2 linked regions of the Canis lupus familiaris genome follow. The protein of the gene in region 1 binds, or shares a complex with, the protein of each later gene. Links are inferred from orthologs where the notes say so. Each region holds a gene or a part of one and is shown on either strand. Other genes may lie near its edges. The genes, in order: IL22RA2 and IL22.

What was found.
Region 2: the proteins of IL22RA2 (region 1) and IL22 are in contact, whole or in part, in a crystal structure (PDB 3G9V), measured with the Homo sapiens proteins. The link is inferred for Canis lupus familiaris from reciprocal best matches to the Homo sapiens genes IL22RA2 and IL22. Residues at the interface, in NP_443194.1 of Homo sapiens: Lys65, Ile66, Tyr99, Gly100, Gln101, Arg102, Trp104, Gln128, Glu129, Pro130, Tyr132, Met148, Pro150, Arg151, Thr153, Trp155, Trp156, Glu157, Glu200, Pro246, Met247, Leu248, Asp249, Arg250; in NP_065386.1 of Homo sapiens: Phe47, Gln48, Pro50, Thr53, Asn54, Phe57, Met58, Lys61, Ser64, Leu65, Asp67, Asn69, Thr70, Asp71, Val72, Arg73, Leu74, Lys162, Gly165, Glu166, Asp168, Leu169, Met172, Arg175, Asn176.

What each region holds. Positions count from the first base shown.
Region 1 is NC_049222.1:29,859,118-29,863,480, reverse strand, and holds the start of IL22RA2 (interleukin-22 receptor subunit alpha-2), read left to right. Parts: upstream 1-1,305; 5' UTR 1,306-1,694; coding exon 1,695-1,755; intron 1,756-4,363. UniProt on the Homo sapiens protein: Isoform 2 is a receptor for IL22. Binds to IL22, prevents interaction with the functional IL-22R complex and blocks the activity of IL22 (in vitro). May play an important role as an IL22 antagonist in the regulation of inflammatory responses.
Region 2 is NC_049231.1:10,850,640-10,854,973, reverse strand, and holds the start of IL22 (interleukin-22), read left to right. Parts: upstream 1-1,478; coding exon 1,479-1,664; intron 1,665-2,081; coding exon 2,082-2,147; intron 2,148-2,271; coding exon 2,272-2,415; intron 2,416-3,338; coding exon 3,339-3,404; intron 3,405-4,334. UniProt on the Homo sapiens protein: Cytokine that plays a critical role in modulating tissue responses during inflammation. Plays an essential role in the regeneration of epithelial cells to maintain barrier function after injury and for the prevention of further tissue damage.

The sequences.
Region 1 (4,363 bases):
GTTCAAGCTCCACACTGGGCTCCATGCTGGGCATGGAGCCTACTTAAAAAAAAAAAAATAGCCAAGGTTAATGCAAAGTCTAGAGTTCACTGGGTAACATCAGTAAGTAGATGCTGCTGAAAAGCCTAGAAGACAGGAAGCACCAAGAGGGTGCAAAGAGAGCCTAAGATCTGTTGCATGTTTCTTCTTTGAAAGCGTTGGTTCACTCTGAGCAATGGAAATCCCACCTGGAAGAGATGAGGGGTCTGGTTAAGAAGTCGGACACAGCCTGGAGGTGCTGGAAAGCCTGGCGTTATTTTCACAAACCTGTCCATAGTGCTCTGGCAGTTATGTCTACCTCCCTTTTGAAGTAGGCTTTGGAAGGTAGAGACAATGTCTACCTTAACTGCTGCTGCACCCTTTCTGTGAGAATAATCAGCCGCAAATGTTTGTTCAATGTTGTTGAGCGAAGGCATGAATGAGAACTGCTTAGCAGCCCTCTCTAGTACTTACTACACAGGCTGGTCTACCAAGAACTTAAGAGAGACTACAGAGGCATTTCCTCTTTTGACCTAAAAATCCTCATTCGAAAAAAAAATATTACTTTCTTCTTGTGCTTTCATGTACAATTATAGTGCCTCTACAAACATGTGGTTTAAAAATTGGTAAGAAAAAATGAATATAATGAATCATAGGTGAAGCATAGATGACCTAGTTCGATCAGATTTCAAAGAAGATATGAAAAAGATACGATGTGGCTCAAAATTATTGTTCTCCACATTCAACCTTTTAAGGACTCAGTTTGACAGCTCAAAATCTTTCAGATGGCTGGAATGGAGGGTGGAAATGGAAAAGGAAGACTTTAGTGACTGCGGCCCTGGGCCACCAAGGATTAGCAAGACAGATGGATGAGTAGGGCAGGGAGGCGAGTGGAGAGCCAGGGGGGTGTGGAGGCCATGAGGTAAACACCAAGGAAGTTAGTCAGAGAGAGCTTCCAAGAAGGGAGGAAAAGGAAGAATCAACCAGAGATCCTACCAGCTTGAACCACTGCCAGGAGTCCAGATAGCTGCCACTGGCAAGCACATTTCTCAGAATCGCTTTGCCAGCTAAGTGGTGGTGGCTGGCAGTGTCTCTGCCTCCCTGGGCTAGATTCCCTGAGGGCCTTACGAGCTGTTTTGTTCCCTCACCTTTTCATGCCTTGCACAATTCCTGCCCTACCCTGCCCTCTGATCTGCCAATCCTCAGTGTTTTGCTCTTTCTTTTTTTTTTTTTAAGATTTTATTTATTCACGAGAGACACACAGAGAGAGAGAGAGAGAGAGGCAAAGACACAGGCAGAGGGAGAAGCAGGCTCCACGCAGGGAGCCCGACATGGGACTCGAACCCAGCACTCCAGGATCATGCCCCGGCCGAAGGCAAGCGCTAAACCGCTGAGCCACCTAGGGATCCCCATGTTTTGCCCTTTCAAGGCTAACAAAGTCCTAGTCCCAACAAAAATAAGCTTCTACCTTGAAGTGACTTATGGCAAACATTTTTGAAGGGATTTTTATACTTTTATAATAAACCTAAAATAAAAAAACATTATAGTTGCTTCAGGGAACCATGGTTAAACCCACGAGGGGATGTCCAGCATGAGGATTCTTCAGTTTCCTCTTCTGTCCAGAGCTGTGCTCTCAGTGAAGGGACCACTGGCTGCCTGACAGTCGCACACCAACCATGATGCCTAAACACTGCTTTCTAGGCTTCCTCTTCAGTCTCTTCCTGACTGCTGTAGTAGGTAAGTGCTTCACTTCTTTTTAATTGCTCATGATTTTGTCATCTGAGTCTGCTCAAGGGGCTGTTGGAAATGGCACCACTGCTTTTCTGGGCTTTGTCAAATTTTCAGCTTTCTTCTGTTGTGAAATGATCAGAACAGACATGGGGTCAATTTCTATGTGCAGCCTGCGTAACTCCACGTGGACTTCACAAGGAGCTGCTAAAGAGGAGGCGCTCAGGAAACTTCAAGGGAAACTACAGCACAGTAGTTATGAGCAGGCTCCTTGCCTGACTACCTGAGCCTGGATCCCAGATCTGCCATTTACTATCTAGGAAACTTAGGGCAATTGACTTTATCTACCCTGTGCCTTAATTTCCTAGTCTGTAGAATGGGGATTGTAAGTCGCCGTGAGGATTACGAGTTAATATGTACTCAGTGCTTAGAGCAGTGCCTGGCACAGAATGGAGACCATAAACTTCATTTGAGAATTTGCTGTTGGTCTTCACAGAGAACTTTTCAAGAGCAGTGAATATCTTGTCACCCCAAGATACCTCTGATCAAGGCCATTACATTCCCCCAGTGAAAGATAGCTACCTGTCAGCGTGACTTAACAAATGTTCCCAAGACTATACAATTGCTCAGAGACTGATAACATGAAAACAATTCAAGCCCTCATCTTTCAGAAATGAGTGGATTTGTGGGGCACGAGGTTGGCTCAGTGGTTGAGCATCTGCCTTCAACTCAGGTCATGATCCCAAGGTCCTAGTATTGATCTCGCATTGGGCTCCCCACGAGGAGCCTGCTTCTCCCTCTGCCTATGTCTTTGCTTCTTTCTCTGTGTCTCTCATGAACAAATAAATAAAATTAAAAAAAAGAAGAAAGAAAGAAAGAAAGAAAGAAAGAAAGAAAGAAAGAAAGAAAGAAAGAAAGAAAGAAAGAGAAAGAAAGAAAGAAAGAAAGAAAGAAGAAAGAAAGAAAGAAAGAAAGAAAGAAAGAAAGAAAGAAAGAAAGAAAGAAAGAAAGAAAGAAAGAAAGAAAGAAAGGTGTGAATTTGAGTGGACTATACCTTTGGTCCTTGGCAATAGAAAGGACTTGTTTAGCAAAATATAGCAGGAATTCAAGCACTAACAAAATGATTCTGGCTCTACTTGCTACAGGCCTGGAACTTTGGGCAAGATCCACAATGTTCTGAAGGCTCAGCTTCCCCATGTGTAAAATGTACTAATAAAAATTCCTACCTTATTTGGTGGTCATGAATATGGGATACTGTGTAAAGCTTTCCACACAGTGCCTGATACATGTTTCATGTTCATATATGCTCAGTGATCAGTGAGTGCCAGCCAGAGGAGGCGGAGATGAAAAGGAGGAGAAAGAATATCCTCAGACGCTCATTGCTTTTTTTCCACGTCTCTCCAGAGGCTTTGTTCTTGGTTTCTGCAGTGGAGGGGTGACAGCAGCAGGCTCTGGAGTCAGGTGCCTGGTACAAAATCCGCTTCACCAATTTTGTCTGTCAGAGGGAGACTTCAATAGTACTTTTTTCATAGAAGAGTAGGGCAGATTAAGTGAGTTAACACAGGTACAGGCCCTCAGTGGCTGGTACCCGGTGATCTGTTATTATTGGTGGTAGCAGTGGTGGTGTTACAAAAGTGAGAGAAGAAATCCAGAGACAGAGGGGATAAAGGACATTGAGCTGACCATCTCTGGGGTGGCACAGGCTCCAGGAAATTGTGTTCATCACGTCCTGAGACTTCTGGAATTTTTCTGTACTGCATAGGACAAGATCCGGTAGTGATTTTGGTGAGCAAAATCAATGGTGGCAGTAGACTCTTTCCAAGTACACACCACCATTTGATGCACTGAAGGAGTTCCAAAAAATAAAAATAAAAGCAAACAAAAACCAAACAGCTCCCTTCAATAGAATAAAACAAAGCTTGAATGTTCAGAACTGAGATTGTGAGCTCAGAAGTATGTTCTCACTTCTCAAAGATTTTTTAGCAAAGGCTTGAAGGTGGTAAAGAAATGAAGCGTGTGGGATTCCAGGGGAGAGCTAGGACCGGTGCAGGGACCCGCAGGTGGGAGCACACCCGGCGTGGCGGAGCAGGAGGAAGGGGGCCACCCTGGAGTCAGGGGGGGTGGGGTAGAAGATGAAGTCGGGAAATGATGAGGATGTGTTTCCTGACGCCCTCTCCTTCTGCCCAACTTCCTATCCCTGATCAGAAACCCCACACTTGCTGGGAGGCAGAACTTCTTCACCCCTGCCCATCTTAGGCTTTCAGCTGGGACTCATTACCAAAAAGGCAGATTAACAAGAGAAAACAGAATCATTCCATCACACATCACAAGGCAGGAACCCAAGCGAAGAGTCACTCACATGGTGCTTGGTATTCAGCTTCAACACAGAGCAACACGTTTACAGGGACCCGACGGGCCACTTAGGCTTCCGAGGGTGGCAAACTGTGGTAGTAAGCTCAAGGACCTGACGGGAGGAACTGATGGAGGAAGGTTTGTGTGCAGACTCCTCTGGTGCCGTCCTGGGCTGAGAAGTCTGTCTCCAGTAAAAGGAGAATTAAATCCTGCCTTCAGGCAGGCAAAGGGGAGGATATTGAGAGTTTTCCTGTATGTGTTGCTT
Region 2 (4,334 bases), on another chromosome or scaffold:
CCACGGTGGCCTTCACCTGGGTCTTGCCATCTCACCAATGCTCAAGATTCTATAATTATTCATTTTCCTTCTTCTAGTTCTTCAACACTCTTGATCTTGACTAGTTGTGGGAGAAAAATCTGATCAAACCTATGTGCATACTCCTTCCCCTAGCAATAGATCATGGCACTTGCTCCCCTGTCATCCATCTCTTGGGAGGTTTCCCAGTCTAGTTTTTAGGTGTTATTTAGAATTTAATCCATTTTTAATAACTCAAAATCAAGATATAACTACTATATTGCCAGGTTCTCTTCCTTAGGCATCCATATACATGATAAAAGTTGTTAGAAAGATTTTTTGGAAATATTATTTCGAGACTTAACTTGTGTGTTACTTAACTTGAATGAGCACAGGTAATATTTCAAGATGAGCTATTATATCTACTATATTCTTAAAACACTTGTATGTTAAGAAAGGTAGCGATTAGATTGCTAAGCATTAGTATTTCCAAATTTAAATTGATACTGATTATAATTTAATAAAATTTTTTTTAAAGTAACCTCTACACCCAATGTAGGACTCAGCCTTATGATGCCAGGAATTAAGAGTCACATGCTCCTCTGACTGAGCTAGCCAGGTATCCTTCAAAGAAAATTTTAAGATATATTTGCATCCACCATAATTATTAAGATCACTTTAAAAAGTCACAGAATGGGATAAAATGAGTGCTTAGATTAGCCAACACTGTTATTTTAAAAATGCAAGTCTTCCTCAGGATTAAAAATATATGTGTATATTTTTATGTACATTAAATGTACATAAAAGTGTATTAAAAATTTATAAGGTTATTTTTAAAAGTGGAATTATCTCCAAGCTATTATCACTATTTATTTTAAGGCAGAGGATATAGGACACGAGTCCTTTATTTCTGATCACCTTTAATGAGATAAGAATCTATGAAGCTGGAAGGAAAATGAGCCTATGACCAAACTGTTTACTCAGCTACTACAGAAGATGAAAAAATATTATGCCGAATCTGGAATCCACGAAGACAAAGCAATTGCTTTCTTTGAAAAATAAGTAGGGTTTAGAAAATTTCTGGGATTTATCTGTGAAAACACCTTTGGGGCCCTAATAGTGACGTTTTAGGGAAACACTCGCATTTCAAGGTGGGAAAAATAGGAGGTGGCGTTTTGTGGGCTCCTGTGGTGGTTAGGTAGTTCTCAGAAGACAGTACTGGAAATTAGATAATTGCTGATGTCATTTTTTACAAAAAAAAAAATGTGTATTCTGGGGGCTATAAAAGCAGCAACTTTTGCCTTCCCCTCACAAGCAGAATCATCGAAACAGGTAAGTGTTTCAGCAAACTTGGTGTGATGGGTTCGTTTGACGTGATACTTCTTGATACCTAATTGTTTGCCTTTATGCTTTTGCTTCTTGTTCTCTTGATACCAGGTTTCTTTTCTAGTCGCCATTAGTTCCAGTTAGAGCTGTCTGCGATGGCTGCCCTGCAGAAATCTGTGAGCTCTACCCTTATGGGAACTCTGGCCGCCAGCTGCCTCCTTCTCATTGCCCTGTGGGTGCAGGGAGGGGCAGCGCTGCCCATCAGCTCTCACTGCAGACTTGACAAGTCCAACTTCCAGCAGCCCTATATCACCAACCGCACCTTCATGCTGGCTAAGGAGGTACTCATCTCGGTCTCTCTGTCTTTCATATCTTCTCTCCTTGGAACCTGATAGTTCCTAAAACGTTTTCCAGAACACTACTAAGATCTGTAAGAATGCATTGTCTCTCCTCACTGGTAGACCACAGATTATTTTCTATGTCTCCTTAGAGACTCTTTGGAGATTAGGCTTTACCAGAAGACCCTCCATGTTGGCCTTGATGATATATGTTCGTTGAATTTTACTCCCCAAAGGCCATTTATTAGCCCTTCTGACTGTGTTTCTCCTTACTCCTGTGTGCATTATTTTAAACTCATGCACACATCTGAATTCTTGAGTCTTCATGGGGCTGCTCTGGGGAGAGTGGATAGAGTGCATCTCTACTCACAGACTTTTCATCACAGATGAAAAGGCACTTAGTCTTTTCTTCTCTTCCAGGCTAGTTTGGCAGATAACAACACAGATGTTCGTCTCATTGGGGAGAAACTGTTCCACGGAGTCAATGTAAGCCATAGTCATGATGAGCGGGGCAGTGTGTCATCCCTGGTTGTTTGGATGGTGGTGATGATGCTTTGGGTCTTCTGGATGCCCCTCAACATGACCCCTGCTGTTTCACTTTTGCCTGCAGATGGGAGAGCGCTGCTATCTGATGAAGGAGGTGCTGAACTTTACCCTTGAAGAAGTGCTGCTCCCCCAATCCGATAGGTTTCAGCCCTATATGCAGGAGGTGGTGCCCTTCCTGGCCAGGCTCAGCAACAAGCTAAGCCAATGTGTGAGTTTTTGTCCCCGCCTAACTCTACCCTCTCCTACTTGACTGTCTTGCCTTGCTTCTTTCCTTTAGAGCTCTTCTCTGCAAACCCTCACTGCCCCTTCCCACGCTGGCAGCAAGAGGTGCCTCAGCAACACCACCGTGAGAGTCATTTGGAATCACAGAATGTTTGTTTTTGCTTTAATTGAATCATATTTTGAACATATGATGACGAAGAGTGTCTGAAAGACAAGAGCAGAGAAAGCTCTTTTGTCCTTGGGAAAAAGCATCTCAAGTTATGTGAGACAAGAAAGGTGTTGAGACCTGTAGGGAAAAAATGCCTAGGTGTGGGAATGGGTCCCTGGAGTATAGATGGAACAGGTGGGAAGAAGAGAGGCTAATGGGAAGATTTAATGTTCAGTGCTGGGTGGGCAAAGATGGTTGCCCTTTGGATGTCACGAGAAGGGACAAAAGTCAGAGGTGTGTGACCTTGATGGCTCTGAATATTTAAAATTATGAAAAGACTGCAGTGGAGTGGGCAGAGTGAAGGGACCTAGTATTTATTGAGGAGGGCCTACTGTTCACACAAGACATTTTATGTCCGTTTCTTGTTCTGAGCATGCATTTTTTTGAGGGGTAGAGTTAGGGTTTTATTCTTCACAGAATTTGCATAAACCACTCTACTCTTTCCACAAACGTAAACCTCAGTAGGATTTCTCAAGGGTGAAGAGAGGTCCCATGTAAGGGAAATGACTGGATTTTGGTGTCCAAGGGAATTCAAGAGCTTTGAAAATCTAGGTCACTGGTGAAATCTAGGTCATTGTGGGCAAAATTGCTAAGAACTTTAACTCCAGGTGCATTGTAACACACCTCAGTTAGGGACGCTGAGGTTCATAAAGCTTCAGCACGACAGTGTTAAAATAAGTGCTCTGGTTTTCATTTTGTAGCATATTGAGAACGATGACCAGCATATCCAGAGAAATGTGCAAAAGCTGAAGGACACAGTGCAAAAGGTACTACTAATAACTATTAACTCTAACCATTAAATAGGAGAGACAAATATTGTTTTTCTTTCCTACCTTTTCTTTTTTCCCCCCACATGTAATTTTTTGCTTTATTTGCCTACATCAGGTTGATTATATATATATTTATTTGTATATACTATTTATTTTGTATTTATTTTATATATATTTATTATATATATTTATAGATAAATTTTAAAATTTTGCAAATCATAGAATTCTAGAATTGACTGGGAAATAAGATTATCTAATCTCTTCACCCCATGTTCTGGGCATGACTAGCCGTAGAGCCAGGGCTAGAATGCAGGTCTCTTGAATCCCCTCCAGCACTCTTTCTAGCAGCAATTTGTGTTAGTTTTAGTGTTAATTCTTTAGGAAATTTGAAATTCCTACTGATTCACGTAATCCAAACAAGCACTTGTTCAAAAACAGGAAAGTACTTGGGGACAAATTTATTTGAGGTGATTTTTGAAGCCATTGATTTGATGACTTAAAACTTGGAGAAATAAACCCAGAACAACCATAACAAAAGAGTTGCACATATATGATGTAAATTTTTAGAATTATTGATACTTATATTTAATTATCATAATATAATACCTAGAAGCTATTGATTTTAATTTAAAAGCAAGAATGAGCAACCCCCAATTTCTTTTATGCAGTTCCAAATGGAATGGATTTATTAGAGTGAATGGAAGTCTGAACTGGAAATACTCTTCTCTTCCTCTCTTTTTTCCCTTTCCTTTCTGGTCTCCTTCTTCACTCAACAAATCCCCAGTGAGCATCTATCTGGTTAGGCTAGTGTGCATTTGTACAGAGAATGATACTGTCACATGGCCTATTTGGATAAAGGAACAATAGTAGAAGGCTCAGACTAGCAATTGTGACTCATTCAAAAACCAGAGGAATGATTACTAGCAG